4 linked regions of the Tamandua tetradactyla genome follow. The protein of the gene in region 3 purifies or fractionates together with the protein of the main gene of each other region. This does not show direct contact. Links are inferred from orthologs where the notes say so. Each region holds a gene or a part of one and is shown on either strand. Other genes may lie near its edges.

The links.
Region 1: the proteins of PRKACB (region 3) and CDK5RAP2 purify together in Homo sapiens (affinity purification with mass spectrometry; 4 studies listed by BioGRID and IntAct, counting the BioPlex papers as one, with this or other methods). This does not show direct contact. The link is inferred for Tamandua tetradactyla from reciprocal best matches to the Homo sapiens genes PRKACB and CDK5RAP2.
Region 2: the proteins of PRKACB (region 3) and PDE4DIP purify together in Homo sapiens (affinity purification with mass spectrometry; 5 studies listed by BioGRID and IntAct, counting the BioPlex papers as one, with this or other methods). This does not show direct contact. The link is inferred for Tamandua tetradactyla from reciprocal best matches to the Homo sapiens genes PRKACB and PDE4DIP.
Region 4: the proteins of PRKACB (region 3) and AKAP11 purify together in Homo sapiens (affinity purification with mass spectrometry; 5 studies listed by BioGRID and IntAct, counting the BioPlex papers as one, with this or other methods). This does not show direct contact. The link is inferred for Tamandua tetradactyla from reciprocal best matches to the Homo sapiens genes PRKACB and AKAP11.

What each region holds. Positions count from the first base shown.
Region 1 is NC_135328.1:36,971,487-36,978,317, reverse strand, and holds the start of CDK5RAP2 (CDK5 regulatory subunit-associated protein 2), read right to left. Parts: upstream 3,019-6,831; 5' UTR 2,754-3,018; coding exon 2,698-2,753; coding exon of another isoform or gene 2,657-2,697; intron 2,559-2,656; exon of another isoform or gene 2,477-2,558; intron 1-2,476. UniProt on the Homo sapiens protein: Potential regulator of CDK5 activity via its interaction with CDK5R1. Negative regulator of centriole disengagement (licensing) which maintains centriole engagement and cohesion. Involved in regulation of mitotic spindle orientation.
Region 2 is NC_135337.1:314,916-322,788, forward strand, and holds the start of PDE4DIP (myomegalin), read right to left. Parts: upstream 3,021-7,873; 5' UTR 2,900-3,020; coding exon 1,775-2,899; intron 1-1,774. UniProt on the Homo sapiens protein: Functions as an anchor sequestering components of the cAMP-dependent pathway to Golgi and/or centrosomes.
Region 3 is NC_135337.1:40,932,319-40,940,273, forward strand, and holds the start of PRKACB (cAMP-dependent protein kinase catalytic subunit beta), read right to left. Parts: upstream 3,008-7,955; 5' UTR 2,724-3,007; coding exon 2,537-2,723; intron 1-2,536. UniProt on the Homo sapiens protein: Mediates cAMP-dependent signaling triggered by receptor binding to GPCRs.
Region 4 is NC_135330.1:116,862,994-116,870,171, forward strand, and holds the start of AKAP11 (A-kinase anchor protein 11), read right to left. Parts: upstream 3,005-7,178; 5' UTR 2,615-3,004; intron 2,279-2,614; exon of another isoform or gene 2,166-2,278; intron 2,093-2,165; exon of another isoform or gene 2,074-2,092; intron 1-2,073. UniProt on the Homo sapiens protein: Binds to type II regulatory subunits of protein kinase A and anchors/targets them.

The sequences.
Region 1 (6,831 bases), on a different chromosome or scaffold from region 3:
CAAGACCAGACCAAGCAAATAACTGGAAATACCATAAAAGTTCAATATCAGGACAACGAGTAGATAAAACGTGCCTGCTATAAAGCAGAACATGCCTTCAAATCCTGTTTGGTATCAGGTAAACTATAAATACACAGCAAGACAAAGGAAATGTACTGAAATATTAAAAATAATCATCTGTGCGAAAATCACAGATGTTTTTCTTCTTTTTAATTTTCTGTAAGTCTCAATTTTCTGCAGTAAGCATCACTAGAGGGATAAAGTCCATTTTCCAAAACAAATTTTAAAAATTAAGATCAAAGGCAGGCCATGGTGGCTCAGCAGGTAGAGTTCTCGCCTGCCATGCTAAAGACCCAGGTTCGATTTCCGCTGCCTGCCCGTGAAAAAAAAAAAAAAGATCAAGTTCCACTACCACCTTTTACAGATGGTGGACCAAAGGCCCAAGGTTATTGGCCAAGCATAGGCTGGAGTCTGGTCTCTATATGCCCAAGCCAAGATCAATCACAGCTGAAAACTACCTAACAGGCAAAGTCAAACAATTTGATCTTAGGCAAGCTACCCAAAGGCAAACATTAAAGTCTGAAAAATAACATCTGATATCCCAATTCTTAGAAGAAACCCACCATGTAATGAACAAGTTCCTGTTTGGTTCCTGCCAAATTTCCACTTAAAGTTAGGCTACCAACTTTAAAAATGTTATGAATCTCTGACCTCTGCATCCTCCAGCTGGTTCCAATTAACACCTCCAGCCAGGAGCAGTTCCTCTGTCCCTTGTGAGGTTCTCTAAGCCTGATAACTAAGGTTGGGGCCTGAAGGATTTTTACTAGAAACCAAAATAATGAAAACAAAGGAAGAAAACTTAGATACGATTTTATCATTGTACGCATTGGGAGCGGAGGTCCAGGGAGGAGAAAGAACCTCAAGGGTTAGTGGCAAAAATGAGGCCAAAATCCCAGTCTCTCAGCACCCTTTCCACTCGCTGACCCTGTGCCTAGACCACCCAAAGCTCCTAAATGGATATGGCATGCAGTAGGGTAAGTTTCCTCGTGGGCAAAATAAAGTATAATGATCACAAAAACCTAACCAGAACGGAGCACTCCAGTACAGGCAACCACGCTCAGGATGAGACAACCTCCCATTTAATCCTTACCACAGCCCTTCTGAAGTAAGTGGTATTTTTTAAATGCTGCCACTTTTTTTTTTTAAACAAGCAAACAGGTCCCTCAATTTAATAAGCTAAAAATCCCAAACCAGCTTGATTTCAAACACCATGCTCACTACTCTGGCAACCCTAACATTTTCAACTGGGTTGTGGTGAAGACAGCATGAAGTAGGCAGAGGACTTAAAGCACTTAGCACAATGCACAGCTACAAAGGCAGCTATTTGTTGTATATTCGTTGAGGGAAAAAATGAACCCTTGCCTGAGCTGCACCATCCCCTTCTCCGATCTCACTCTAATGGCACCCAAAAGGAGTTATCTCTTTCTGTGCTTAAGTGGCAACAACTGTTCATTCACACAAGACCCAAGGAGAGCTGTTTCATTTTTAAAGTGTCCTGACAGCTCTTGGACGGGACTGGACATTACATTCAGACTTACAATTACACTAAGTGTACTTCTGTTTGTAGTTCAACAATTCACTTTCCTTTCTGTTCCCTTCTCTTAATCAGAGCAATAATACATAATTATAAGTCAAAAAATACAGATAAACCTAAAGTTCACCTAAACTTAAAGTTCACCCTAACTACTCCTCACCCCTATCTTAAGACGCAAGTACTGTTGTCAGCATATTCATTCTTCCAAGCCTTCTTCTGTGTATTTACACACTTAGAGAAATAGTTTTATTCTGTGATTTAAAAAAAACATAAATGCCATCATACTGCACATATCATTTTACATCTTCTTCACACACGGTGTCCTAGAGATGTTTACATGTCAGTACAAATGAATTTACCTCAATATTTTTAACTCCCACAAAGCATTCTACAGCACTGTTTTTCAAACTTTACTGACCACAACCCTTAGAAGAAAATATATTACCCTTAATTCTTGAACTATTTCTATTGTTCTACTCGATTTTTTTTAACCTCTGGCTACAACCTACTAAACTGAATTTCATGACCACTAATGGAACACAAATAGTCAGAAAGACACTTTTTAAACAACGATTATTTTCCCACTCCTCTACTGATGGACAGTTTACAAGGCTGAATTTGAATCCAATTCTGTCTGACTCCAGCCAATACCTTAACCACTGCACTCCATCGCCTCAGTCTCCATAGTCCTATGAACAAAGTCTGGACATATGGACTACACTTCCCATAAAGAAAGCAAATCCCCAACCCTGAATGAACCATAAAATCTCTTCAAAGGCCCTACTTAAGACGCCATATCCCCCACGGAGCCTCCACTTATGGCACACTCCAAGAGGCCCCCTTGTCCCGCTCTTTCAGAAAACCACTTACCCGTCCTTCACACCCTCCTCAAAGTACGTCTGGAAATATCAGAAGCGGGTGTGTTGCAGATCGGGTCCCCCAGGAATCCCCACAGTTTCAGAAGGTGAGCTCCCTAAGAACAGCCCCACCCTCACCCCGCAGGCAACCCACCCGACACACTACCCTGTCAGGAGACGCTCACACGCACACACAAGAGCAAACCCAAAGATTCCTCAAGGCGAATCCTGGAGCCCGGGCCGCACCTGCAGCCGCTCAGCGTCCCGGGGAGGGTGACGTTCTCCTCCAACGCCGAGTTCATTATGGGCACAAATGCGGTGGTGGCGTTAGTGACTGTGGTAGCGGCGCCACTGGTTCCCGCCCCCACCCCCACACTCCCCACGCTGGAGCGACCCGCCGGGTTTCCCGGGTCCCCGCCCCCTCCAACCCAGCTCTCGTTCGAACTCTAGGGGCGCCGCTGGAATTCAAACCGCAGCAGCCGCCATCTTTCCCCGCGCTTCTTCCTACGGAAACGAGGCGGGGTCCCCGAAACGCGCGAGATGAAGCCGACCGGCCAAAGCTACAGACCGGGCAGGGAAGCTCAGGCTGGCGCCATCTTTACTAAGGGTAGGTCATCCGCACCCTAGGAGGACTAAAAAAAAAAAGAGGGTTCCGACGGCTCTTTTTTTTTTTTTTTTGGTGAGGGCACTTAGGCCGAAGTCAGGGCAGGCGCCATCTTTGTTGAGGGCGCATAACCGTCCCGGTCGTTAATTTAAGCGGGAAGTGGGATCCTGTCTCTCACGGACCCACAGAGTTTTTAAACTGTGTTTCCCTTTACAGAATGATGGCTCCACGTCCAAAGGCTTTCGCCTTAATTTTTTTTTTCTTTTTTGCATGCGCAGGATCCGGAATCCAATTCGAGTCTCCGGCATGGCAGGCGAGAACTCTGCCACTTAGCCACGGTTGCCAGTCCTTTCGCCTTAATTTTAAACTCATATAATCGGGTGCTGCCTTGCTTTGGAAGAATCCTAAATGTGGAATCCCAACTCAAGTCCTAATTTGCGTAATTGGTTTGAAGTAAATAAGTTTATCTCTATGAACCAAGAAGTGCTCAGCGACACTCCCACTCCAATCTCTCACCTAGTGATCCTTTATTATCTTTAGGGCTCAGCACCTAAAATCAGTAAACTGAGGCCCAGAGGGAGAGAATGGCTTTCCCAAAGACATACACAGTTAAGTCTGTCGACCTAGGCCGGATATGCGGCCGCTGCCAACTGGTTCATGGCTCTCTCCATAACATTGACTGTCTCTATTTAAGCACACATCTACCACTAAACGCCTAGATAATTTTGACGAAACCTGATCAGTGAAATCAACGTTCCTCTCCCTATCTCAGTGCTACCACCTTCCTCTGCAGGTTGTTGGGAAGAGTAGTGGATGAAAACAACTTGAAAAAATGGGTGAGTTGGTAGGTGATGACTTTCCCTATATCCATAAATAAGCCCCCTCTTGGCCTTAGTTTCATCATTCTTCGATTTAAATGCCATGTTCTAAAAGAGGCCTTCCCTGATCCTCCAGTATAAATAAGGTCCATTTCTTGTTCTTAGCACCTCTTGTTTTGCCTTGGTAGCATCTACCAGATTTTGCAATTATGTATTTATATGTGTGTGTGTGCATTTCAATCTTTCTGTTGCATTAGACTGAAAGCTCCATGAGGGTAGAGACTGTGTTTGAATTGTTCACTGCTATATTCACTACATATAGCATATATTGGGCCTGCTACCCAGTATGTGTTTTTAAAAATGGTAGGTGAATGAATGATTCAATCACTCAATCTGGAAAATGGGGCTAATATCTATCCTGCAAGGTTTTTGTGACCACCTGAGATACCTTTAAGAAGTCAGTCAGTGGTAATTGCATGTTTATTCTCTCTCTCTCTCTCTCTCTCTCTCTCTCTCTCTCTCTCTCTCTCTCTCTCTCTCTCTCTCTCTCTCTCTCTCTCTCTCTCTCTCTCTCTCTCTCTCTCTCTCTCTCTCCATTCCTCCTCTCTCCCTCCCTCAGCTTTAGTGAGGCCCATAAGCCAACGTCTGTCCCTTTTCCTTTCCCAGTTCTTCAAGCACCCCAGGATCGATCTAAAAGGGAGGGAGGGCAAGAGCCAGTTGACACACCCAGTGTCCTGCCCCAGATAGGGGGCAGTCCTTGAAGCTTAGAACCAAAACTCTTTGCAAGTGCTAAGGCCAGAAGATAAAAAAGTGCATCCAAAGCAAGGAAACTGGAATGTCAGAATAGCCACACTGGTTTTGTTACCAACTCTCTGTGATATTTGGCAGACCACCTCTTATCTCTGAGACTTAGTTTCTACATCTGTAAAATGAAAGGGTTGGACTGGATGGACCTTTCAGGCTCTCGCAGTTTTGGAGATGATTTCTCTGTTTTTATTTCAAAGCTACTAACACAAAACCAATTATTTTTTTGGTGAGAGAGGCTAAGAGAACAAATCATCACTTCCCTATGAAAGAACAATTCAGTTCAATTGTTGAAAGCTCTTAAGAAAGGAAGCAAGAAGATAGCTTACTTATTTTTGAGTATCTCTTATGTGTCACCAGGCATATAACCGTCATTTAACCCTCACAACAAGTCTCTGGAATAGGTACTACTAATATTTCCTTTTATTTACAGAATGATGAGAAAACTGAGGCTCAAAGAGGTAAAAATAATTTACTGAAGGTCCCATTGCTGGTTGGTATAAGTGAAAAACCTGAATTTAAGCCCAAGTCGCTGACCTCCAATGCCCTAAGTATAGATGCAACCTGTCTTCCCTATTTGTTTTTCTCCACTTTTGAATTTGGGTCTAAGAGGTGAAGTCTATATCCAGACAAGAGTATTTCAGTGCTGCATTCATGGGACTCTACCTTTAGTAGCTTCAAGGTAGCTAAGAAATCAATCTTAGTATCAGCAGTATGATTACAGGATTGTACATCCTGTACAGGTGTATTACAAGTCCGTACACCTGATTTCTCTATCTGGAAACTCCTCCAACATATCTGTGAGCTGAGGTCCCTTTCCCTGGCTGGAGCTTTTGTTTTCCTATGTGTAAAATGGGGAGGACAATGCCAAGCTCACATGGATACATTATCTAATTAGATACATTGATAACTATCAAGAAAAAGAGCTTGTGAGTTATTATGATTAATCCATTGCCCTATTCAACAAATGACCGTACTCCTGCACTATGTACTAAGCCCTTTAATGACCCTGAAAACTGAAAATAGAATAATTTGCACAAAGGATAGACTATTTAGAAAGTTGTTTTTCCTGCTATTTAGTGGTTTCATGGTCAGGGAGAGAGAGGTCTCACCATGACCTTTCAGTCAAGCTTAAAGATGATGTCACCACCAACTGTTTGTACTATCTGGAGCCATCTCCTTGACAACAGCCACCCAACCACAAAAGCTGGCATTTTTATTTCCCTGGGCAACGTCACATCAAATGGCTAAAGCCAGTAGCTTGGAGCCAGATGTTTCTCATTAGGATAGAGAACACAGCTCAACACACATGAAGTGCCATTTCTAAAAACAACGATAACTTTTTGCAGGATAAATACATGCATGTTGGCACTTTGCACTGTTTCATTTTATCCTCATGAAACCATGAAATCGATTGGAATGATTTCCATGTTCTAGAGATGAGGAAACTAAAGTTCAGAGAAGGGAAATGATTTGACCAAACCCACAATTATTTTGGTTTGGTTTTTTTTCCTACTTAGAAATAATTTCAGACTTAGAAAAAAGGAATTCCCCATATAATCTTCACTCAGCATCCCCAAATGTTAAAATCATAACTAACCAAAGCATAATTGTCAAAAAGAGTAAATTATGTTGATAGATTTTCTAATCTACAGACCTTATTTAAATTTCATCAATTTTTCCATTAATGCTCTTTTTCCAACCCAGGGCCTCCATTGTCAATACATTGTCACATCTCCTTAGTCTCTTCCATCTCTTTTTCCTTCATAATGTCAATCCCATTGAAAAACTTGCCAGTTATTTGGGTTTGTTTGATGTTTTCTCATGATTACATGCAGGTTTATATACTTTTTGTGAGAATTCCATGAAAGTGATGTCATGCCCTTCTTAGGGCATCATATCAGGAGGTACATGATGTTAATATCTCATTAATTAGTGATATTGTGTGTGATCTCTTGGCCAAGGAGTGTCTGCCACATTTCTCTATGTAAAATTACTATGTTCCCTTTGTAATAAGAATTTTGTGGGGGATACTTTGAGGCCCATGTAAACACTTGTTTTTCATCATAATTTCACCCACAAATTTTAGCATCCATTGATGATTCTTGCCTGAAACAATCAATACTGTGGTGTTTGTCAAATGGCGATTTTCTG
Region 2 (7,873 bases), about 41 Mb from region 3:
GTTACAAAAAGAGAGCTCTTGTTGGAAAGTAAGTACTTATTTAAATTGCACTTCAGGCAACGTAGTCTAACACACAGAATAAAAAGGTCTTGTCTGAAATTAGTAATCTTTGGCATTATTAGGACTGAACTATTTAAAACATGAGCTTCCTATATCTCTAAATTGGAACTGCATGAGATGATCTTTAAAATCCATCCCAACTGCAAAATTTGATGAGTCCAAGCCCCAAAAGATGGTATTTTTAATTAAATGTGGAAGAAAAAAAAAAAACATGATTTGCTTATAATTTTCCATGTCTTTACTGTTCTACAATATTGGCTATATGTGAAGGGGTAAAAAAAAAAAAAAGTATTTCCCATCCACTTGGACTATTTTCAGATCCTAATATGTAACTACTATATTTAATTTGTGACTTCTATGTCTTTCAGCTGTGAGGTGCTAATAAATGAAAAGGAAGTTATGGAAAAGAAATATGCATGTATTAGGCATACAAATACTGAACATTTTACACAAATAAACACACTAAAAGTTTTTGGCAGCAGGCAATAGTGGTGCAGTGGCAGAGTTCTCACCTGCCCATGCCAAAAAAAAAAATGGTTTTGATTTTTATACTTTTACAAGCACTCATATGCTGTGTCTGATAACTTTGTGTAATTTAATAAATTTTGTGTACATTTAATTGTGCAAAGTTAATAACTTTTCCCACATTTTTCTTATTGTGATACAAATTAATGTCCTCCACCCCCTCAAACTTTTTTTTTCGAGTGACAATCAAAAGTTTCATCTGTTATCAAGCTCTAAACTTCTGGGATGTAAAGGCATGGTTTCCAAAAATGCCTTTTACACTGTCTACCTTTAGTAGCACTAAAAAATTTGTATCAAAAGGAATGTACCAGAATGTTTCATAAAATTAAATGAACCTAGCATTTACTATAGCTATAGAAACAAAAATGCATCTGTCAGGTCCCCACACAAAGCTGAATTTAAATGACTGGTATGCAAACATTTGATATCTCAAATTAAGATCAACCGCTATTCTCTAGTAGTCAAGAAATTTGAAAAGGAATAATGGCATGGACCTCTTCTATCACACAGTAATAGGTGGATTCTTTCTTAACATCAAACCTGACCTAGAAGAGCTCAGTAGACAAACTGGCTCCTTATCACTGTAAGTAACACTACTTGAATTCCCACATATCTTTTATGAGCAAATCATCATTAGTCCTCGAATAACCTATTAATTATAATAAATCTTGCCCAGATGTTGCAATACTTTACTAACAGACGAATAAATTCTCCCCAAATCTTTCCCTTTTGCTCTAATCATTCTGAGGCATACCTGGGGATGAAAGACTTAATGCTCCAGAGAAGAAGTACACTAACTCCCTTACAAAAAGCCAAAGGAACAAAACATCTACAAATCTAAAAGAAAAATTAACAGAAAAGGAAGTAAGAGGAAAGATTTCTAAGGCAAAAAATGTAGTCTTTTTACAGGGTAAAATGTGCTATCTTTCTGTTTTGAAAGGTCCTGTCATTTTGGTATTTAAAAGGAAGGCGTGGATAAAGATTGTGAAAAGCAAATTATCTGAGTGTGAATCACATTTATTAATGGAACACAGGCAAAACAAATCAGCAAAAATGAGCTCAATGGCTAAGTTTCTCAGGTCTAGATTACTTACCTGCTACTAGACAGACTTCAGGTGAAGCCTGAGGTACTATGGAACCAGAAAGGCACTATCTAATCGGAAAGGCACTACATAACCATTCTGTATACCTGGACCCGGAGCGGCAGATAATCTTCACAGAGATCATCCCACAGCTCCTGCAGGTCTGCCAGCTCCCAGGGATAACCCACAGGCGTCTTGTAAAGAGGCTTCAAAGACCTGCTAAGGAAACCGGAACTAACTCCATCTGTCACCACAGGGCCCGGCTTGGCTCCAGGTGGGCTAGATTTCACTGGAATAGGAAGCTTGCTCCCTCGGGGGCTCTGAACGGGCTTATAATCGACACCTTTAATCATGCTAAGAGCTAGCTCCAGCTTGTGGTTACACACATGCGGTGGAGCCTGCTCGTCTGAACAACAGTCCCACTTTCCAAGTTCCTTTGCACTTCTCTCAGTTTCCTCCTCCTTCTGTTGTGCAGGGCTGGTCTGCACACCTGCATCCAAAGATTCCACAGAGGAAGCCGGGGTCTCCTCCTCCATGCTCTCTCCATCGGGGGGTACCTTTGTGCTTGCTAAGTCTGGGGGCCCAGCCTCAGACAAGGCTGGTTCTTCAGTGCAAATGCTGGCAGACCACCGAGTAGAGGGGCCAGAGGAGATACTTCTGGCCACCTTTCGAGGCACCTTACAAATGGCCTCATAGTCAGAGTCAGCAACCCGCAAAGCTGCACAGCCCCGGCATCTCCTGGGTCGGTTTCCAGAGCCTTCCAAAGCATGGCAGCTGTGTGGCTCCTGAATCTGATCCTCATTTTCTACCCAGCACTCAAACCCTGAATAGGCAAAGTCTTCCTGGAGCAGCGCCGAATATCTGACATCGGGCAGGCCGGACATGTCAACCGTCCCGCTCCCCGCCTCGGTCTCGGCGCCGGGGTCCTCGTTGTTCTTCCGATACATGCTGGCAATGCAGGACTTGAGGCGGTCCTTCTCCAGCAGCAGCTTCTGCAGGCGTTCGATGGAAAGCGCTTCGATCCGGGCGATAACGGTGTCGAATCTGTAGATGCGATCAAGCATGAAAGCACATTTGCTGCAAGCAAACTCGGCTTTGCCATCGCGGGAGACATCCCTGCCCAGGACGTGGGAAAGCAGAACCTGGAGGTTGAGCTTGGCGGCCGTGTGGAAGATCCAGCGCCGCTGGTTCCCACACAGCTCCCGGGCACAGATCCTGCAAGTCTCCTTCATCTCCCCTCCTAGCGAGGGCCGCGCTTGCCCGTGGCCGCGGTGGCCCGGGGATCGCTCACTCGCCCTTGGTTCCGCGCGGCCTCCCGCCTCGGCAAGGTCCGGCTGGCATGGCCCCACCCTGCAGGGCCGTACCTCGGGCTCCCGCGCGCGGCCTCCGGGGACCCCAGCGCTCAGCCCCGCCCTCGGCGAGGGGGTCGGGCGCGGGGACGCCTCAGGGGGCGCCTCAGGGGGGCGCCGAGTGGCAGCGCGCGGGACGTGCGCTCAGCCTGCCAAATCCCCTACAGCTGTCTCCGCCGCCGGCCGCCGCGGCCGCCACGCCCTCCGCTTCTAGAAGGCCAGCTTGTCGGGCCACCCGCGGCCGTCCGCGGCTGACGCAAACCCTCAAAGCCTGGCGATCCGATTTCAAGATGGCGCCGCCCGCCCCGCGCCTGCGCCGCCGTCAGGGTCCGCCGGGAGCCGGAGTCCCGGAGGCTGGCGCCAGCTCTGCGCATGCGCGCGGTGGGCGCGCTGCTCAGAGCAGACTGGGAGGACCTCGCCGTGGGTACGCTGTGGCGCCCCTGCCCACCGGCGGGCCGCTTTCAACTCGGCAGCCCTCCCCTCACGGACCCTCGCGCTGGGACGCGGCGGGGCCGCTACTCCGGCGGGGGCCGCCTCCCCGTGCCACCTGGTGCCGCCGCGCGCCGCCCCTCGGCCCGCTCGGCCCGCGGGGGTGGAAGGCCCCGGGGCTGTCCTGGTGTGAGACCAGATGCGGCGAGGAGGGCAGGTTTTAGCAATTCCGTGCACCCCCTCCCTCGATTTTTGGGAGTATCCAGAAAAGGGAGGACAAATGCTCGCCCCCGACGCTGAGGGAGCGAGGGCTGGCCTTCACGCCCCCAGAAGAAACCGGAAGGGACAAGACGACGGCCGGAGGGCGAGTCCAGCACCCCCCACGTGAATGCAGCTGCTTAGCCAACATGATGCAGAGAATCGAAGAGGAAAAGGGCTTTTTCCGGAACGCAGATACCTGAGAGTAGATTGCTATCACCTGATTCTCTTTCAGGTCCAAGTAGACAAGGTCCAAGACGGTCCTGCCTTGGGGGCGGGGAGGGGACAAACGAGAACAAAAGATGGAGCTTCTCTGAGCGGGAACGGAGACTGTCGCGGAGCTCAGATCTCGGCACGAAGAGCGTTTGGAGTTTCAGCACGGTCAGGCAGTACGCACAGTGCTGTCCCACTCCATGCTTTACAGTTGTAAGCCCTTCCACCTTCGGATACAGAACGTGGAATGCCACAAAAAGTGGAGGGAGACCGGAGCTCTGGCGGGGCGGAATGCAGGTGTCAAAGACCACTTAGAATAAGGAGGTCTCTTTCCGGTTGGAGAGGCTTGCAGGCTCTGGACACGAAGAACAGAAACCTGCTTCAGCAATCACCTGGAAGTCCTCCAGAGCGTACACTTCCTAATTGTAAAATAATGGTAAATTCACTAGCTTGACCTTGTGAAATGAGGTTAGAAAGGCCCAAGTATTTCTAAACCTCATCCCCAGGACAGAACCCACACTCAGTAGTCTGGAGGTATGCAAGTCTTAAATGGGAACTCAGAGTAAACTTCTAAATTCCTTATCGAGAATTAAATGAGATGGTTTGGAGGGAAGAGCTTTAACAGTATTTGGCTCATTAAATAATAGCTAATAATTTAATATAATGAGATTATTTTAAACTAATTTAAAACTTTATAGGGCTCTGCACACATAAAATTGTGTTCATCTCTCATTACTTAAAAGAACATCTGATTGTTCCATTGTGAGAAAGAAAGACAGTCCTTAGAATTTTGCCGTTATTAGGCTACAAAACTTTGTATTTGTCTTATCTAAATATTACACCTCTGGCCCTAAAACCAAGACTGTAAAATAGAGTTCCAAGAAGAACTCATGACAACTGCACTTTCCCCTTCCTCTGGGTAGATGAGCTTCAAAGTGAGAAGAAATCAAACAACAATCTTTGGAATCTATAGTGATCTTGTTTCCTGGACTTGACCTTTCTGACAGACAGACTAGGCAGCCTAATAGGATGCTACTACCCCTGCCATACCCAATTGTAAATACTGTCCTAAAGAACAGTAAGAATTCAAAGGTCCAGAAAAGTGCATAAGACGTTATTAATCAAGACCTCATCTTTGACAGTCAATGCAAGCCACATTTGTCCTATTAGAACACTGCTAATGAAACAAAGTAATTAATAAAACAAAGTGCCCTTCAGGAGCAAATTGTGAATAATACTTTGTATTATGCTCTGTTCCTTAATAGGATTTTGCATCTGGATGATAGTCTCCAAATTTTAATGACAATATACAGATGACTTGGTGTATAAGAAGTACAAGTCAGTACAAATAATGGAAAGGCAATTTACTTGAGAAGAATATGTTTGATATACTCTCAATATACTAAAAGACAGAGCTATATATAACTAGGCTTCCAGGCATAGATAAGAATAAACCTCCTGACAGTCAAAGAAAAGACAGAACTCTTACAGACAGAACTCTGTTCACGCCTAGAGAAAAATTTTTAAACTGTACCTCAATGCAAATAGCAAGATACAGTAAATAGAACTAGTCCTACCATAATCACTTGGCATTGTAAGATAATTTAATACCAACTAAAAGGTCTGATGTGCAGATAACAAAACTTAAAAATAACATTTAGGAAAGAAGAAAAACCATGGAGTAATAAATCCAGTTTATGGTCCTTAGTATCATCTTGGTTAAGATTTTGTAGTCAGTCAACGCTGACTACCTGTGCTGAGCCAAGCAAAATAGGGCTGAAGGGGGACATTTACTTTTTATTCTATGTACTGTGTAACATTTGAATTTTGGGCAATGAATGTATATTCATGTATTGTCTTTAAAATTAAATAAATTTAGAAAATATTCTAGACTTAAAATTAGAATAGTGCCAATTTGACACACTAACAGCAGAGTCAAAGTGGTAAGACTTGAAGTTGAAATAAGAATTTTTGTAATATATATGATGTATGTGTGTACAGGACTTGTATAACCAGAAAGTTCAAAGGAAATATAAGGCATTAAATGGTGATTATGTCTGGAGTGGAATTATGAATATTTATTTTCTCCTTTCCTTATTTGTGATAAGTATCAGAAAGTAATTGTGAAGTGGAGATAGTGTGAGAATTGGTTGCAAAGGACACAGACGAACTTTCTGGGGTGATGAAAATATTCTCTATTAGCTTTTTAATAATGGAAATGTTCTCTACTTCCGTATCTATACATGGGCATATACAATTGTCAGAGTTCACTGAGCTGAATGCTTAGAGCTACAAATTTTATATATGCTAGTATAGTTGAATAACAAAGGTTAAAAAGAGTAAATAAATATAAAAATGCATACTACCCAAAAACTTTTAATCTGAAGGGTTTCTTTGGCAGAAAGTAATCTCCTACTTTAATTTAAAAATGACTTTGAAAATTAGGAAGACAAAATATAGCCAAGAAGAAATTCTTACAGTTCTATCCCTGCCAACTTTGGAAAGTGTTATTCTATGCGCACTTATAGCACACATGACATATTTATGATGCAGGCAAGGCATGTTTTTAAGATGAGACTTAGGGGCTTTCATGATGGCTTAGAACAGGATGATTACTTCTGAAACTATCAAACATAAATAATAAAGGAAAACAACAGATTTCATGTCATGATAAACTACTATGAATTAAACGAATTATTAATTATATGTGTCAGCAATTTGCTTACAAAATTGGTAGATAAATGCATTCACAAGCACTTACTACCTGTATGTCCTATGTCAAGTCACTTAAATATGGCCATTAATTTCCTAATCTACAAAATAAAGTTGTCTTGAAATTAAACAGTGGTTTTCACACTTTAAGATGCATCGGAAGTGCCTAAATGGCCTGTTAAGACACAGATTGCTAGACCCTACTCCCAGAATTTCCATTCAGTAGGTCTAGGGTGATGGCCAAGATTTGCATCCCTAACAAATTCCCAGGTCACGCTGATGCTTCTGTCTGGAAACTACACTTTGAAAACCACTGAACTTAGAACTATCCTAAATGGTAATCATAAAAATCTCTGTCAAAAATAAGAAAGAAGCTCTTCAGGTAAGTGGAAACACTCATCATGAAGAGTTACTTACATGATCTATTTGAAATTTAGAGAACTATATCCCCATCTGGAGCAATATTCCTAAGCCTTACTGTGGTAGGGGTCTTTTGCATTATCTCCATTTTGATCTCTAGATTTTGGGACCTGGGAAGTATCAATGAGAACAATAGCCACGTTTGTAACCCCTGTGTGGCAACAAGGTTGTAGTGTTTCTAAAATCTAATTCTGGGCTGGAAGGGAGTTTCCAAGAGAATTAGAGGGGTGGAAAATCCCATGTCCCAAACCAGTTGTATCAGGTTTCACTGCCCTAGTTATGAAATTGGAAACAGATGCTCTAATTAGTAAAAACTATGCAAAAAAAAAAAAAGAAAGAAAGAAAGAAAAGATTCTGGCAGAGAAGCTAAGGCAGATGAGAAATGCAGGAAATCAAAGTAGAGCCAGCTGTGCTTTGTGATAACACAAGTATGTATGTGATTTCCCTGTGCTGGTTGGAAATCTTAAAGAAATCAGAAATAGTCATATTTTGCATTAATAATATAGCATTTCAAAACACTTGTTTAAAACCAGATTTCCAGTTCAACTATAGATTGCAATATTATGATCATCAGCAGAGTTCATCTTAAAATAGTAAACATTATAGTCTTTCAAGTTAAGTTATTAAATACAGTTGTTAAAGCAATTTTTTTTTCATGAACAGGCATCGGGAATTGAACCCGGGTCTCCACCATGACAGGCAGGAACTCTGCCTGCTGAGCCATTGTGGCCCACCCTGTTAAAGTGAATTTTAAAGTATATGTTAAACCAAGCAATAAGCAAGAATTTACGCAAACAGTATATCTTTTCTCTGTCTTCAGTGAAC
Region 3 (7,955 bases):
CTATAAATATCAATACTGCCATTTATTTTGACTCATAACAAAAAGAATTCCTCCATGGCTTTGCATTGAACTTCATATTCTTACATTAATATGGAATCAACGATTAAATACTTCTGTTACAAATAGAAATTCCTGTTACTTATTTTAGTAGTAAAAGATGAAACACATTAAAGTCATCTGGAAAAACCACTATTGTTTAGCATTTATTCTTTATCTTTTCATATATGTCATCGGATAAAAAAGAAACTTGGATTAAAGTTACATTTCACCTCTGCTTATATTGGCAAATAATCTTTACTCAATAGTTCATAAGCCTAATTTAAAAAGAAAGCTACATACAATTTCTATGCTTAGTGGATTTCTTAAAATAACACTTTTATAGTGCTTATCATCAAGAATGTTTATCATCAAGAGATACTACAGTCTTTTTCTTTTATTAAACAAGTCATGCAAGCAAACTGCTTTAAGTACCTTTGAAGAATGTGGTCTGTATGCAAACCTTATATGGCCAAAACTCCTACATCTCACTCTATAAATGAATAAAAACTTGTTTTTTCACCACGAAAATAAATCTTGGAATTTCAGAACAATAGGAGTCTTCTGTTTCTGCTGTATCAGTGTTTTCTCCTCTATATAAACACATTTCCATAATAGGAAAATACAGCTCCATGTTTCCCATATCTGCCATTATATATGTACTTATTGCGTCTATTATGATCTTTTTGTGATATGAAAGAGAGTAGAATGGAGGAATACTTAATTAATGCACACTGCTACTCTTAAAATATTTCTTATATCATGCCTATTATTTGCAGGGATACAAGGCTTGCACCTAATTTTTAGGTTTCATTTTACTTGCATACAATGATTCACATATATTATTTTGTAACTTTACTGTGAAGAAAAATGATAACAGCATTTTGTCAGTCTGTCTTTTCCTAAAGAAATTGTGGCTCATGATACTGTATCTTTTATTGTAAGATTTTAAAATGTGGTTTGGAAAACATCAGAGAGCCCATACAATTTTAAACATGGTGAGAGTATATTCAAACACATATTTTAATTATTAAAAGTCCATGACACTCATTCATTTATGATGTACTTACTAAGTAACTACTATATGGAGGAAGAAATATTAGTGAAACAAAACTTAATACAATATTGTCCTCAGTCATCATTTAACTTTAGACTAAAAGGTCTTTGGAATGCACAGAAATGATTTCCAAAACAGCTTAGGAGACTGCAATTTAACCGAACAGGGCAAGCAGAAAGAATGACAAACTTTTGTCATGTGGAAAAATTTAACAATGTACTATTAATCCAACAGACAGTAGTTCATGAACCTGGCAATTTATGAGACTCCTCTTCCATCAACTTCATACACAATAAGGACTAAATGTAAAAAAATCAAACCCTTTGAGTGAAAAAAAATTTTGCAAAAATATATGCTGTTCTTCATTTTCTGCCTTGAATAGTTTGGCAAGGGCAAAAAAAATTATGATGCAGTAAAAAAATAATAATTCAAATAAGCCTCTATACGACTATGAAGGTGCTATAAATATATAAACCAAGGGGCAAATTTTGTGAACTATTTGTATTATTTTTTTCTTTTTTTTTAAACTAAGTTTTCTTCCTTAACTGCTAGGGAATATATAATCAGAAAGAGGCAAAACCTATGCTATTTGATGATCAAACAAGCATACAAAAAAGGGCATGGTTATCAAGGGCAATTCTCTTGTTCCTTTAACCCGAGTGACAAAAATACTTTGGGAAGGATACAAGGTGAGATGTGGAATGGAGGCCCTGGCATTGTTTATATATTTAATTAATCTTTTAAAGTGCATACCACCAAAAATGGTTTCATATAATCATTTTAACAAAGCAGCTAAGTCCAAACATTTTAACATGTCTGGAAAGAATGTGATGTATGCATTAACAGCTTTTTTTTTCCATTAGTCATAATTATAAATGACATAAAATCATGATACATTTTGACATTCATAATGTTTTAAGTTTAAGATTTCACACCAAATAATCATATTATGATTTTACTTTAGTAAGCCCTACTTGTAAAACTGAAATAACTTTCATCTATGCACTTAAAAATAAATGATGGCAAACAGAAATTAGTTATACATTCAGGAGTCTTCTTGCCCCCTTTGAAGGTTAAGACTTATAAATCCAAGATCTTTTAAAAAATACACTGAGCATTGTTTCTAAACTTTAGCCATTCATTTTTATATAAGACCAAAAGCAAAAACAAAAAAACAGTAGCATACATTTAGAAATGTTATAAGTATTTTGCAGAAAATTTTCCCACTAACAATCAACTTATAAACAAAAAGTTGAACTGCATGATGCAGCTCAACATTTAATCAAATTTTTATGGAATTCTTTCAACTTCATCTCGCAAAATGCTCTGTGCAAGCCATAAAAAGACAAACAAAACATGGTTCTTTATACATTTGATTCTAAAGCTCTAATTCCTGCTTTAGTTGCTAGTTATAATGTATCATAAAAACAAAACAAAACTTACTTGTTCTGTCCCATAAGGCAGTATGTTCAGAGAAATGAAGGCTGTCATTTTCCAGAGCTGTTTTCTGATCATGTGCAGTACCTTTAGAGTGTCTATGAAATAATCGGCTAGCAAAACCTTCCAATTTCTGAAGAGCATTAGTTGTACCTGTACACTGGTGATAAGGTAGTTCTCTATAAGCTGCCATTCATCTGCGTTTACACTTTACTTAAAGTAACTGAAAATATTTCCAGAAGGAGCTCAACAAGTTCTTACACAGAAGCTGAGAGCTATGCATATGTCAAACTTCCTGTTTGCAGGGTATTCAAACCACTACTGCTATTCTGTTTCCTGTTAATATAAAACAGCACATTACTGAGCCTTTCTTAGCAAAACTTTTTCTAACACAACTACAGATGATGATCTTAAAACTTGAAATACCTACCTAAAAGTCTCTACATTTAAAAGTGTCTTAATATTAATATCAATATACATATTAATGAGAGTATTCATACTAAAGTCTTATACAGACAATAGGCTGAAAATTAAAATTAAAAAAAGATAACTACTTGAACATGTATTACCAACTCTATATAAATAACTGAAGGTCAAACTACCCTCCAAATATAGCATGATAAAAACAGAGATATTCTTTTTTTCCAGGAAGTCAGCTAATATACAGAATTCAGGTATTCTTATAAACAGAAAACTTTTCACTGAAAACTGCTATGGAATGGATATGAAACACCCTTGCAAAAAAAAAAAAATATATATATATATACCACACCTGTTATAGCTAAGAAAACATATGAACTAGGATGTAAAAAAGAACTGGATATTGCTAAATCATTGGCATAGGTCTAGTTCATACATAGGAACTACAGAAATAGTATGTCAATATTGCTTATCAAAGATAATCCACTGATAAGCACATGACAACCAGCAGTATACTTTAAAACATTCTAAATTTCGGAAAAATAATTAAATATAGATTTAAAATGATACAAAATCAGTCATAGCAAGAAATTTCAAGTGGGAGAAAAAAATTCCTTCTAATTATCTAAGACACACATTTTTAAACCTAAACACTGAAGACTACTGCTTACCTGATCTCTGATTTAGGGCTCTCACTTAGGAACATTTCTTTCTAATAACATTTGCTAAGTCTATTTGTAGAAAAAAAAGAATCCTGTGGCATTTAGCAATGATTTTAAGCATGTACCTTCTGAGACTGACAAATCAGAGGACGATAAATTGTGTGGTTCTCCCTTTGGAAGCTCTAAATAAGAGCCACAAAAATGAAAAATCTTTAAAATAATCTATTTTAAAAATATATTGGTACAGATTTCCTGTCAACTCCTTGACAAATACAATAAATAGGACCAGTAATGACTAATAAAGAGGAACAATAATATAATCATTTTAGGGCTACCCAAACACACGCACACAAACAGAGCTAGTGTTTACTAATGAATATTGCCAAATAATAGCTCATTAGTGTACAATTTGTTTTGTGTAATAAAATTAGTATCAAAATTAACAAGTAAGCAACAGTATATCTAAGATAAAACAAACCTATAACTTTATAAATATTGTATGTACAATACATAATTCGCTTCTTTACATCTCACAGTGCCTTACATAAAACAGACATTAGTAAGTGTCTGCAGACTTGTAATAAATATCTATAGAGTACTAATTGGTCTAAATAGGCAGAAAAAGATAGAATTCCTGAATCCCTTTGACTTGCTATTTTGGGGAAATTCTATTCATCCTCAAGACTGACCACAAACATTACCTCCTCAGTGAAGTCTACCACAAACTATAAAGACAAAATTATTTTCTCCTCTGTTTCTACTGACCTTATAATTTCCTGTTAGAAAATTCGTTGTTTATGAAACTGCAATGAAATCATTACTTGAATTCATAAATGAAATGAATGAATTAGTTACTCAATAAATACACATTGAACGAAGAAAGTTTATGCTCATTTTAAACTATTCAAAACATGGTAGGATCCTCAAGCACTTGAAAATGTTTTAGTTTTATTTATGATAGGGCCATATTTGTAAACAATTCAGCAAGCACTAAATTGTCCATATATGAAGAGATGAAGTCATAGTAATAGAAGTAATATCACCGAACATCTCCTTTCCCTCATATTGTCAGTTATATTTTATTTATTCCTTGAGTTCCATTTTTACCCATTTTTATTTACCATATTTTTATTAGTGCAGATGTGAATATCTAAAACAACCATTTAATTGGTCTCTCTTCTTCCAGTAACCCCCTCCACTCATTCAGCCCTCTGCCATATTAATTGCCCCCAAATATTTATTCCATTGGCAAATGCAGACTACTCTTAACATTTCAGCTCTACCTTTTTCATTTTATTATTTATTTGCGACTTATATTCAAAGTAGTGACTCACTACAAGAAATTTCAAATTCCTTGCTAAAACACTAAGATTAATATATTTAAAATAATGGATAAGTATTATAACAAAAGTAATTGCAATAGTTAAAAAAGGGTTAAGATGTGTATCTCTAAAATACAAGATTTGATACCTATGTATATTTTTTTTTATCAAAACTGTTTCCATTTGTTACTAAGATCTTAAGGAAAGCAGAATGTTCTGCCCTAGGAGCAATGTTTCTAAATATGGAAATGTGACTAAGAAGCTGTTGCTGTGGAAGAGCTTAATCAGTTTGATTTTTATTAAAAAAAAAAGACGAGGAAGAAGAACTCTACTGGCATCTACTGCCAGAAAGAAACAACTACAGTTTCAAATAAAACTATGAATTCTTTCATAATTGAAATAAACCTTAAGTATGAATTCCATCATAATTGAAATAAATTTTAAGTATACTGTTTGATACAGATGATATCCTCATATTTTTAATTTATATTAAAACCTCAAGCAATGCACCCAAAGTTTGCTGTAAAAGCATATCTTTTGGTGAAGCTGTGGATTTAAAGAACAATCATGCATAAAATAAAGGATTCCCATATACCACCCTATTATTAATATCTTGCATTGGTGTGGAACATTACAAATGATGACAGCACATTTTTATAACTTCACAATTTATAGCCTGATGTTCCAAGGACTAAAAAAAAATTAATTCTGCTACCATACATACAACCTAACATTTTGTCTTTTAACTGTATTTAGATATATATTTCAATGCTGTTAATTACATTCACAACTTTAGGCTACCATCACCACCATCCATTACCAAAATATCTCTCTCACTGCAAATAGGGACCTTGTACATTTGAAGACATAATTTCCCATTCCCTATCTCCATCCTGTTCCCTGGTAACCTGTATTATAGGTTCTGAGTCTATGAGTTTGCTTATTCTCATTATTTCCTATCAGGCGGATAATACAACATCTGCCTCTTTCTGTTTGGCTTATTTCACTCAAAATGATGTCTTCAAGGTTCATCCAGGTTGTTGCAAGTATCAGAACATCATTCCTTTATATAGCTCAATAATATTCCATTGTATGTATAGACTACATTTTGTTTACTCCTTCATTGGTTGATGGACACTTAGCCTGCTTCCACCTTGTGGCAATCGTGAATAATGTCTCTATGAACATCAGTGTGCAAATAAATACCTGTTTGAATATGCTTTGGATTCTTTTCAGTATATACTTATTAGTAGGATTATCAGCTCATACAGTAATTCTATACTGTTTTTTGAAGAACAATCAAACTGTGTTCACAGAGGTTGTACCAATTTATATTACCAAAAGCATTTGAATGAGTGTTCCTATTTCCCTGCATCTTCTTCAACACTTGTAATTTTCTTTTTTTAATAGCATGGGCTACCATATGATCCTCTCATATTTTTCCTCCTAGCTACTCCAGAATATAGGACAATAGAGGGCTTAAATACTTTCTTACAATCACAATCGAGGTTTTTCCTTCTTTTTTTTTATGAACAAGAACATATATACAAAAGCTATAAATTACAAAGCACAGCACAACAATTAGGTGTGGAACATATTTCAGACTTTGACATGGATTACAATTTCACAATTTTGGGTTTTAACTTCTAGCTGCTCTAAAATACTGTAGCCTAAAAGAGATATCAATTTAATGATTCAGCATTCATATATGTTTGTTAAGTCCTATCTTCTATGTATAATTCCACCATCACCTTTGATCTTTCCATGCCTCTCTTTGGGGTTACTTGGGTTATGAAAATACTAAATTTTTGATATTGGAAGGGTATGTCACTAATATGGGGTAGGGAGATGGAACTACCTGATGTTCTGGAGAGGCTGGGCTAGGTTTCAGGACTTATCTGGACCATGGACCCATTTGGAGATTGCAGATTTCTAGAAAGTTACTCTAGTGCCTGGAACACTTATGGAATCTTATATATTGCCCCAGTTGTTCTTTAGGATTGGCTGGAATGGTCCTGGTTGGGGGTTGGCAGGTTATGATAGGATATGTTGCATAAGAGCCACCTCCAGAGTAGCCTGTCGACTCTATTTGAATTCTGTCACTGATACTTTATTAATTACACTTCTTTTCCCCCTTCTGGTCAGGACGTAATTGTTGATCCCACGATCCCATGGTACCAGGTCTGGATTCATCCCTGGGAGCCCTCTCACACGTTGCCAGGGAGAACTTCTCCCCTGGTGTCATGTCCCATGTTGGGGGGGGGGGGAGCAATGATTTCACTTGCAGAGTTGGACTTAAAGAGACTGAGGCCACATTTAAGCAACAACAGAGGTCCTCCAGAAGTAATTCTTAGGTGTGCCTTTGGTACCCTAAGCTTCTCTGTTACCTACATAAGCTTCACAAGAGTAAGCCTCATGATCGAGGGCATGGCCTAGTGATTTGGTTATCACTAAGGTTTGACACAGTATCAGGGGATTCCCTGATGGTAAGGTTTAATAGTTCCATATTCTTTCTCCTCTTCCTCAGGGGACTTTGCCAATACTTTTTGATTATCTGCTTAATATACTCTAGGATGTTTCCAGGCTTTACAACAACCTATACAGGATTAAAAGACCTCTTTCTTATTCTATGCTTTCTGTGTTTCAGTTGCTCAAATGAGCTAAACAGATAGGTTGAATTAGATTATATATTACAGAAAATTTCAGTTCCAGATCAAATAAACCTTTCTTCCACTGGTCTTAAAGATTATGTGTGGTTCTAAAATATAGACACTGTCTTCCTTACCCCTGTGTTCTAAATTACTTTAACCCCAACCTGTTCGGCTTCGTTCATATCTCTAAATTTCAAGTAATATAAAACAGCCTCTCAAAATCCAGAAATAATAATCACCACTCCGGACTTAATGTGTCTGCTTTAAAAGCTTACGATCTAAGCCCCTGTTTTCTTACGAGCATTTTCTAAAGGTGACCAAACTACTGCTGTTGTTGTTTTTTTTTTTCTGGCTTATTTTGTCTCACCAA
Region 4 (7,178 bases), on a different chromosome or scaffold from region 3:
TTTAAAAATAAAATGAACTTTTATATATAAGGATGAATGGAAGAATGAAGACATTCGGATCTGCCGAGTCTATATTTAAATTGATAATGTATTTTCCTTCCTCTTCCCCACATATCAGTTTATACACCCTTCACTTAAGCGCAGGCTAAACAGATCTTTTCCTCAGCTGTCCTTACCCCCCATTCTCTCCCAGTGTTTTACTTTATTACCAAAATGCAGTCCACTCCACAGAAAAAAATTAACCAGCTTACCAACCTACTCTCCCCAAAGTTACCTCACACTTTTCAAAGAAAGACAAAATAACAAGTATCTACATTCTAAAAGTTTGAAACCAAAAGATAAAGAACAGCAAAGCTTCTATTTTTCTAACTCTGGAATCAGTCTGCAATGGTGGAATGGGAGGGAACTTTTTCTAATCTAGATTGAGTACTTTTGCCCATTCGCAAATTTCCTAAGTTTTTCATGTTTGGCCAAGTTTCGGGAGAAGTCTTCTGCCCACTTATAAGTGGAAATTTCCTTTAGAATTACCTATAATGTACCATTTGAATTAGTTTGATTTCCTTACCTAGATAGTAATTCCTAAAACTTAAAAAAAAATTTTTTTTGAAGCATTACGCTTTTTCCAGCCTCTGAAGGCAAGGGAATACTTTAGTTTCTAGACTTCCTCCGGGAGTTCAGAAGCTAGAGAATTTCTCACTCTGGTTTTGGCAACTCCTATATCCTGAACAACTTGGAAATATCACTGTCCTAGGAATATAACCCTAGGCAGGCTCTCATCAATAGTGCAGTTCAATGGGGATATACACGAATATATGCACCAGTCACTAGTTACCAACTCAGAGTATATTCACCAGATGTGAGTTACCAACTCCACTTAAGTATCCACTTCTTTCCTAAATCTCTTACACACTCTGATCTCTCAAAAACTACCCTATTACAGTTACAACCAATCATGAAATTCAGTGTCATCCCTGGGGTCACATTTTGCCTCAAGAAATACATGAATAACAAATAACTGCTTGAATGAGCATGACTGTGTAATAAAAAAGATTCATTAAATTGCACTATTTTAACTGACACCAGTAAGTGCTGGGCATTTACTCAAAAATTATAAACAAGGTATTACAACAAAATCTTCTCTGTATTACTGAGCAGCCAATATTTTCCGAATATTTTCAGACATATCAAAATAAAGGTGGGGAGAAGCTAGGGACAACTTAGGTGCTCTGCAAGGTACTGACCAAATAATTACAAAAGCAGAAAGAGAATCAGAAATGTGAAGTTTGTTTTGCACTGAGGCCATTAAATATGCATCTCAGCAATATTTGTCATCTTGAAATTCCTCAATATTTCAAGATAAACCACCTCAATCTAATAAGGCTTAAGAGGAGAGGAAAAGAATTACTAACAAGTTCTATCACTGTGGAGTTTAGACTTTACTGTCATTTGTCCTTTTGCCAATGTTTGAGCTTTTTTTTCAGTTTGGTTATATCTACAAATATATATATATGTATTTATATGCATATATATATATATATATCTACACATAGAGAAAGAGAGAAAGAAGGCAGCTTAGATGCCTGGAATACAAGTATACACAGCCCATTCACAATACTGGATGGCCTACATTTAGGCCACTAACGGCATGAGAGAATTTTAAAGCAAATCCAAACGTCAGTACTCTGATGAGCTACTTGACGCCTTCCGTTTCAGTCATAAGATTTGGGCTGTGCCTGGTTCCAGAGCGCAGGGCTTCTGACAGTGAAGGATGCGCTGACTGGGGACAAAGTGCAATGTCCTTCTCGTGCATACGCTCCTCGTGAATGCACACGACACAAACAAAACACACGCACCGGTACTCACAGAGAAGCCCCGACTCTGACAAACACGCCGGGGATGGAAACTGAATCTGTCATTCAAAGGGACAGCAGCCCCACGGCCACGGCCCGAACGCCAGGGTCCCCCACACAGCCGCGTGCCTCTGGCGTCCTCCCTCCGCCTCGCTCCCACCGCCCTCCTCCCACCGCCGTGAGAAGACGCAGCTCTCCAGCGGGTCCGAACCGGAACACGCACCGGCAAAGCGGCTCCATCCACTCCGACCCCAAAGACAGCCGTTACCCCCTCAACCTGCCGCCTGCGCCGCGGGCGGTCCGCTCCCGGCTCACCTGGGGGCCGCAGCCTCCGCAGCTCACAAGCATGTCACCGGCCTGCAACGACCAGCCGCGCGAATGGGGCGAGCAAGAGGGAGCCCCCTCCCGCACCGGCTCCCAGCCTTCCCCCTCCCCACCCAGCGGCCCGCCCCCGCTCAGCCCAGCCCAGCCCACCCCCTGGGTTTCCGCTGCAGCCGCGCCTGACCGCAGCACTGCCTACGGCCCACGCCTCCCACCCACTCTCGCGTGAATGCACGCCTCTCGCGAGAAGAACACCGTGGCCAAGCCCGCGCAAAAGTGGGTGGGCTCTCGATAAAGGAAAGAAGCAACAGGGAGAACGCTTCCCACGTGCTCGAAGCTAACCACCGGACCGGCCCTGCCAGTCACGTGATATGGAGACGGCCTCTCATTGGCCGAAGCCCGCTCAGCCGTGGGAGCTTTAAACTCGAGGCTGACCTACGAACCTGCGGCGGACGTCTCGCGTGCTTCCTAGTCCGTTGGCTTGGAAACGGTTTAACCCTTTGCTCTTGCAAAAAGCCTCGGCCTCGGCTCTTCTCCGCAGGTTCGTTTTTCGGCCTAGTGTCTTTTCCTTCGACCCCTTAATCTCACCCCCTAGGCCAGCGGGGCATCTTCTTAGCCTCAACGTCAACTTTGCTTTCTTGTGACGCTCCGGGGTTTGCCAAAATCGACAGTCCTACCAGATCTGACGGTCCAAGGAAGGGCCCATCCTTTCAGGGTAGCCCCGCCCCTTCTCCCCAGCATCTCTAGGGAGGACCACTGAGGGCGCACCGGGCCCTTGGCCTATCCTAGCCGAAGGAGTTAGCATCCAGGGATCACCGGGCCCTAGTGCTCTCCTTTTCTCCTTTACGTGGTCACGAAAGCGGAACGAAAGGCGTTTGGCCACGGAGAAGCCCGGCCCTAGAGGAAAGCTGATACGCTTTAAACAGCCGGAATGCTTACAATGGAAGGACCGGTTCAGTCAGGTTGCACCTGACTAGGGCACCTATTCCTCAAGGGTGGAATTACCTGACGGATGAGAAATATATTTTTAAACGTATCCTCACTATGGTTCATGTTCTGCCCTGTTTGTGTGGCGCTCCTAAATATCTAGGCACGACTCTAGGCTGTCGATTGAGCAACGATGATGACGTATTGTAATAACCTAATTTCTAGGACGCGTATCTGAAGGGGAGAAAAAAGATAGAAAAATTATCTGTCGGTGTCAATTGCTATGAGAAGAAATTACAGTAGGCGATGTGATGGTGACTGATTGGATGGCTACAATAGGGACGACCCTTCTGAGGAGGAGATAGTTAAACAGTTTGAATCATAGTCATGCAAAAATCAAAGGGAAGGATATTTCACGCAAGAAAAGAGCTTTCAAAGCCTCTAAATTGGGACTTGTTCTAGTAGGTTTGAGGAGGAAAAAATGAGAAAGAGGAAATGAGCTTGGAGGGGTAAACATGAGGCAGATCCTGTAGGGCTTTGTAGGTCAAGAAAGAATGGAAAGCATTTTTGAGTTTTAAGTAGGGTTTACATTTTTTCAGAAGCTCTTTCTAGCAGAGAATGGATCTTAAGGCGCCCAGAGCAGAATGCAGGGAGATCAATTCGAAGATTTGTAGTCTGGGTGACAGCCACTGGTGACAATCTTAATTTCCAATGACCTTGACATTCCTCTTTTACAAACCTTCAGATTAGAAGTCCTGGTGTTATTTCCTAACTTTTGTTTAAAACGCATTGATAAAGCATGACTTATTGGTATTTAAAAAAGGAGAAAAAGTGGGGACTTTTTTTTATTATTACTTGCAACAAGTAGCAACCAAAAAAAAAAAAAAAAGCCATTTTTTACCCTGATTTTTTTCCCTCCGCGCAGATTCCCGCACAGGTCAATTCTAAGATACAGGAACATAAAGTGATGTTCTATGTAGGTACTTGTTCCTAAGTGTATGATTTTAAAAGTTTGAGGTTGAAGGTTGGAAAATCAAGAGTGTGCAACTACAAGAAACAGGAATCTGAATATTTGAGTTCCAACTCCATGCCCTGTCATTAACTAGTGACGCAACTAAATCAGAGGATCTTATCTTCCCTGAGTCTCAGCTTCCTCATGCATAAAACAAGGCACTCTAACTGGCCTACCGGCAGCAGGGTGAAGCCTTGGTTACACTTTGGCAAGTACACACCAGTAGGACGGAAGCTGGAAAGGAAAGTGCAATGAATTTTTATAAAAATCTAACAGAGCCAGCAGCACAAGCCAAATGAAACTAGACACACGCACACCAGCTGAGGAATTATGAAACTGATTAATACAGATACCAGGAATACTTCCCTAAGAAACCTTGGCCACCTCAGAGTGTGAAAACGTAAGCATTGCCACCTGCTCAACCTCATATTCCCTTTCTCTGTAGCTATTTTAAACCTAAGTATTATTTTATGAATTATCATTCACATGTTCCTAATCAGAGTTTAAAGAAGTAAATGGAAAATAAATGTCAAAAAAATCGGAGACAATATCAATTTTAATGAGAGCAAGAAATCAAGAAACAGGTCATTTTTTAAAAGGGAGAATGATAAAACAAAAAAAAACAAGAAAGAAAGAAAAAAGTATTTCAACAAATTAAGACCATTCTTTTGAAATGCTAATCAGGCACTTTTTTTTTGAGTCTCTTTTAGAGCCCTCATTAATGATTAACTGAAACAGCTGCTTAGTATTGTTAATTTAGATGATCAGTGGAGTTCAACTCTACCATTCAAGTAAGAGGCATAAATTCCCCCAACTCAGTCCAGCAGGACAGTCATGGTGTTCTCTCCTTCTACAGTTCTTTGGAGTCAAGAGAATATGAAGAAATGAGACTCATTTCTACGGATGTCCCTAGCTCCAGTTGCTTTTAAAATTTTCTTTAAAAAAAAAAGCTTTATTGAGATAGAATTCACATACCTTACAATTTACCCATTTAAAGTGTGCAATTAAATGTTCTCTAGTATATTCAGAAGTGTGCAACCATCACCACAATCTAACTTTAGAACCGTTTGTCCAGCCTAAAAGAAACCTGGTACCTATTAGCAGTCAATCCCTCAACCACTCCCAGGCTTAAGCAACCACTAGTCTACTTTATGGCTCCATAAATTTGCCTATTCTATACATTTCATATAAATGGCATCATGCATTATATCGTCTTTTATGTCTTTCACTTAGTATAATGTTTTCAAGGGTCATCCATGTTGTAGCATGTGTCTGTATTCCTTTTTATTCTCCAATAAAATTCTTTTGTATTGATAAACCACATTTTATTATCTTTATCAGTTAATGGGCATTTGGGTTGTTTCCACTTTTTGGCTAAAATGAAAAACAATGCTATGAACATTTGTAGTACAAGTTTATGCAGGTGTTGCTTATTCTTTTTAATCCCTTAAAAATACAAGACATTGTGTGATTGTGAAAACCTTGCATCTGATATTCCCTCTGTCTAGGGTATGGACAGATGAATTAAAAATATGAATAAAAAAACGGATAATAGGGGGAACAAAAAGTTAGAATATATTGAGTAGATGGAAATACTAGTGATCAGTGTGAGGGAGGGGTAGGGGGTATGGTATGTATGAGTTTTCTTTTTTCTTTTTGTTCCTTTTTCTGTAGTGATGCAAATGTTCTAAGAACTGATCATGGTGATGAATATACTACTGTGTGATGATATTGTGAGCCATTGATTGTACACCATATATGGAATGTTTGTGTGTTAAGAATGTTTGTGTATGTTGTCAATAAAAACATTTTTAAAAATACAAGACATTACATTTAGTCAGTTCACAAAAATCCATATTTCTTTTCCTAAGACATAACTTTGCTCCTAGACTTTGTCATTTTTTCCTGTTGTTTGAAGTATGTACGTATTATCCTCAGAGAGTTGGCATTTCTTCTCAAGCAACTCACACCTGACCGTAGCACTCCCCTGCTTAAAATCTTCTGATGGCTTGTTATGGTTCTTGTGATCTACCTAACATTGTCTTTTCCTCTCATATCCTTCTGCTCCTCAGACTCTCCTTTCAGCTCCTCAAAACTTGGCCAGCCCCTCCCTGCCTCAGAGCCTTCTCACAAGCTATTCAGACTGTATGGAATGTCCTTTCTCTGTCCATCCCCATTAGCCTGTGAACATCCAAGAATATTTAACTTTCAATCTACTTTCCTTTCCTCGGGAACTCTTGTCCTAACTCCCCAGATTAAGTAAACTTCCCCCTTATCTAGACTTCCTACTTTTTCTTCAAAGTATGATCACAATTTATAATGATTTTTATTTGTGAGATTATTTAGCTAATGCCTGTCTCCCTCCTCCACTAGACTGTAGGATCTGTGAGTAGGGACCACAACTGTTTTGCTTAGCAGTGCCTGGCAAGTAGTAGATGCTCAGAAACTATTCATTGAATAAATGAGTGAATGAATTGATGAATGAAAACATGAAGATGGGATGGAGTCTCATGACATCCAGTTATCCCTAGTCTTCAGAACATTATGAAGTCATATTAACTCACTACTACTATCATGCCTGCCTCTGCATGTCCTCAGACCGATATCTGTCAAGGTATGGGTAAAACGTTCTCCTTCTCAAAAAAATATGCTTTTATCAGAATGTATTATATAGGCAAAGGTGTGTTAAAATTAACAGTATTACTATTTCTCCAATCTTTTCTGAGTATGTCACATTAACCAAGGATGTTCTAAGTGAAAGAATACCAGCTATAAGTAATAGTCTTTGCAAGTCAAGAGGTTTCCAATTACTGGCTTTTAATGAAATTGAAGGAGACTCTAATTGAGTTTCCTCCAAATAGACCACTAAAAATAATTAATTTTTAGTGAACAATTACTTTGTACTTTTGGCATCTAACTGGGAAGGAGTTCAAAAAATTGTGTGAGATTGCTGTAAGAAACTTCCATTCTTTCTATTTACTTAAGTGTTAATGGTTTGTCAGAATTTATATGTATGGAGTGGAGAATAGAAATAGAATTGATGTTGGAGTCTATCTCATGGTAATCAA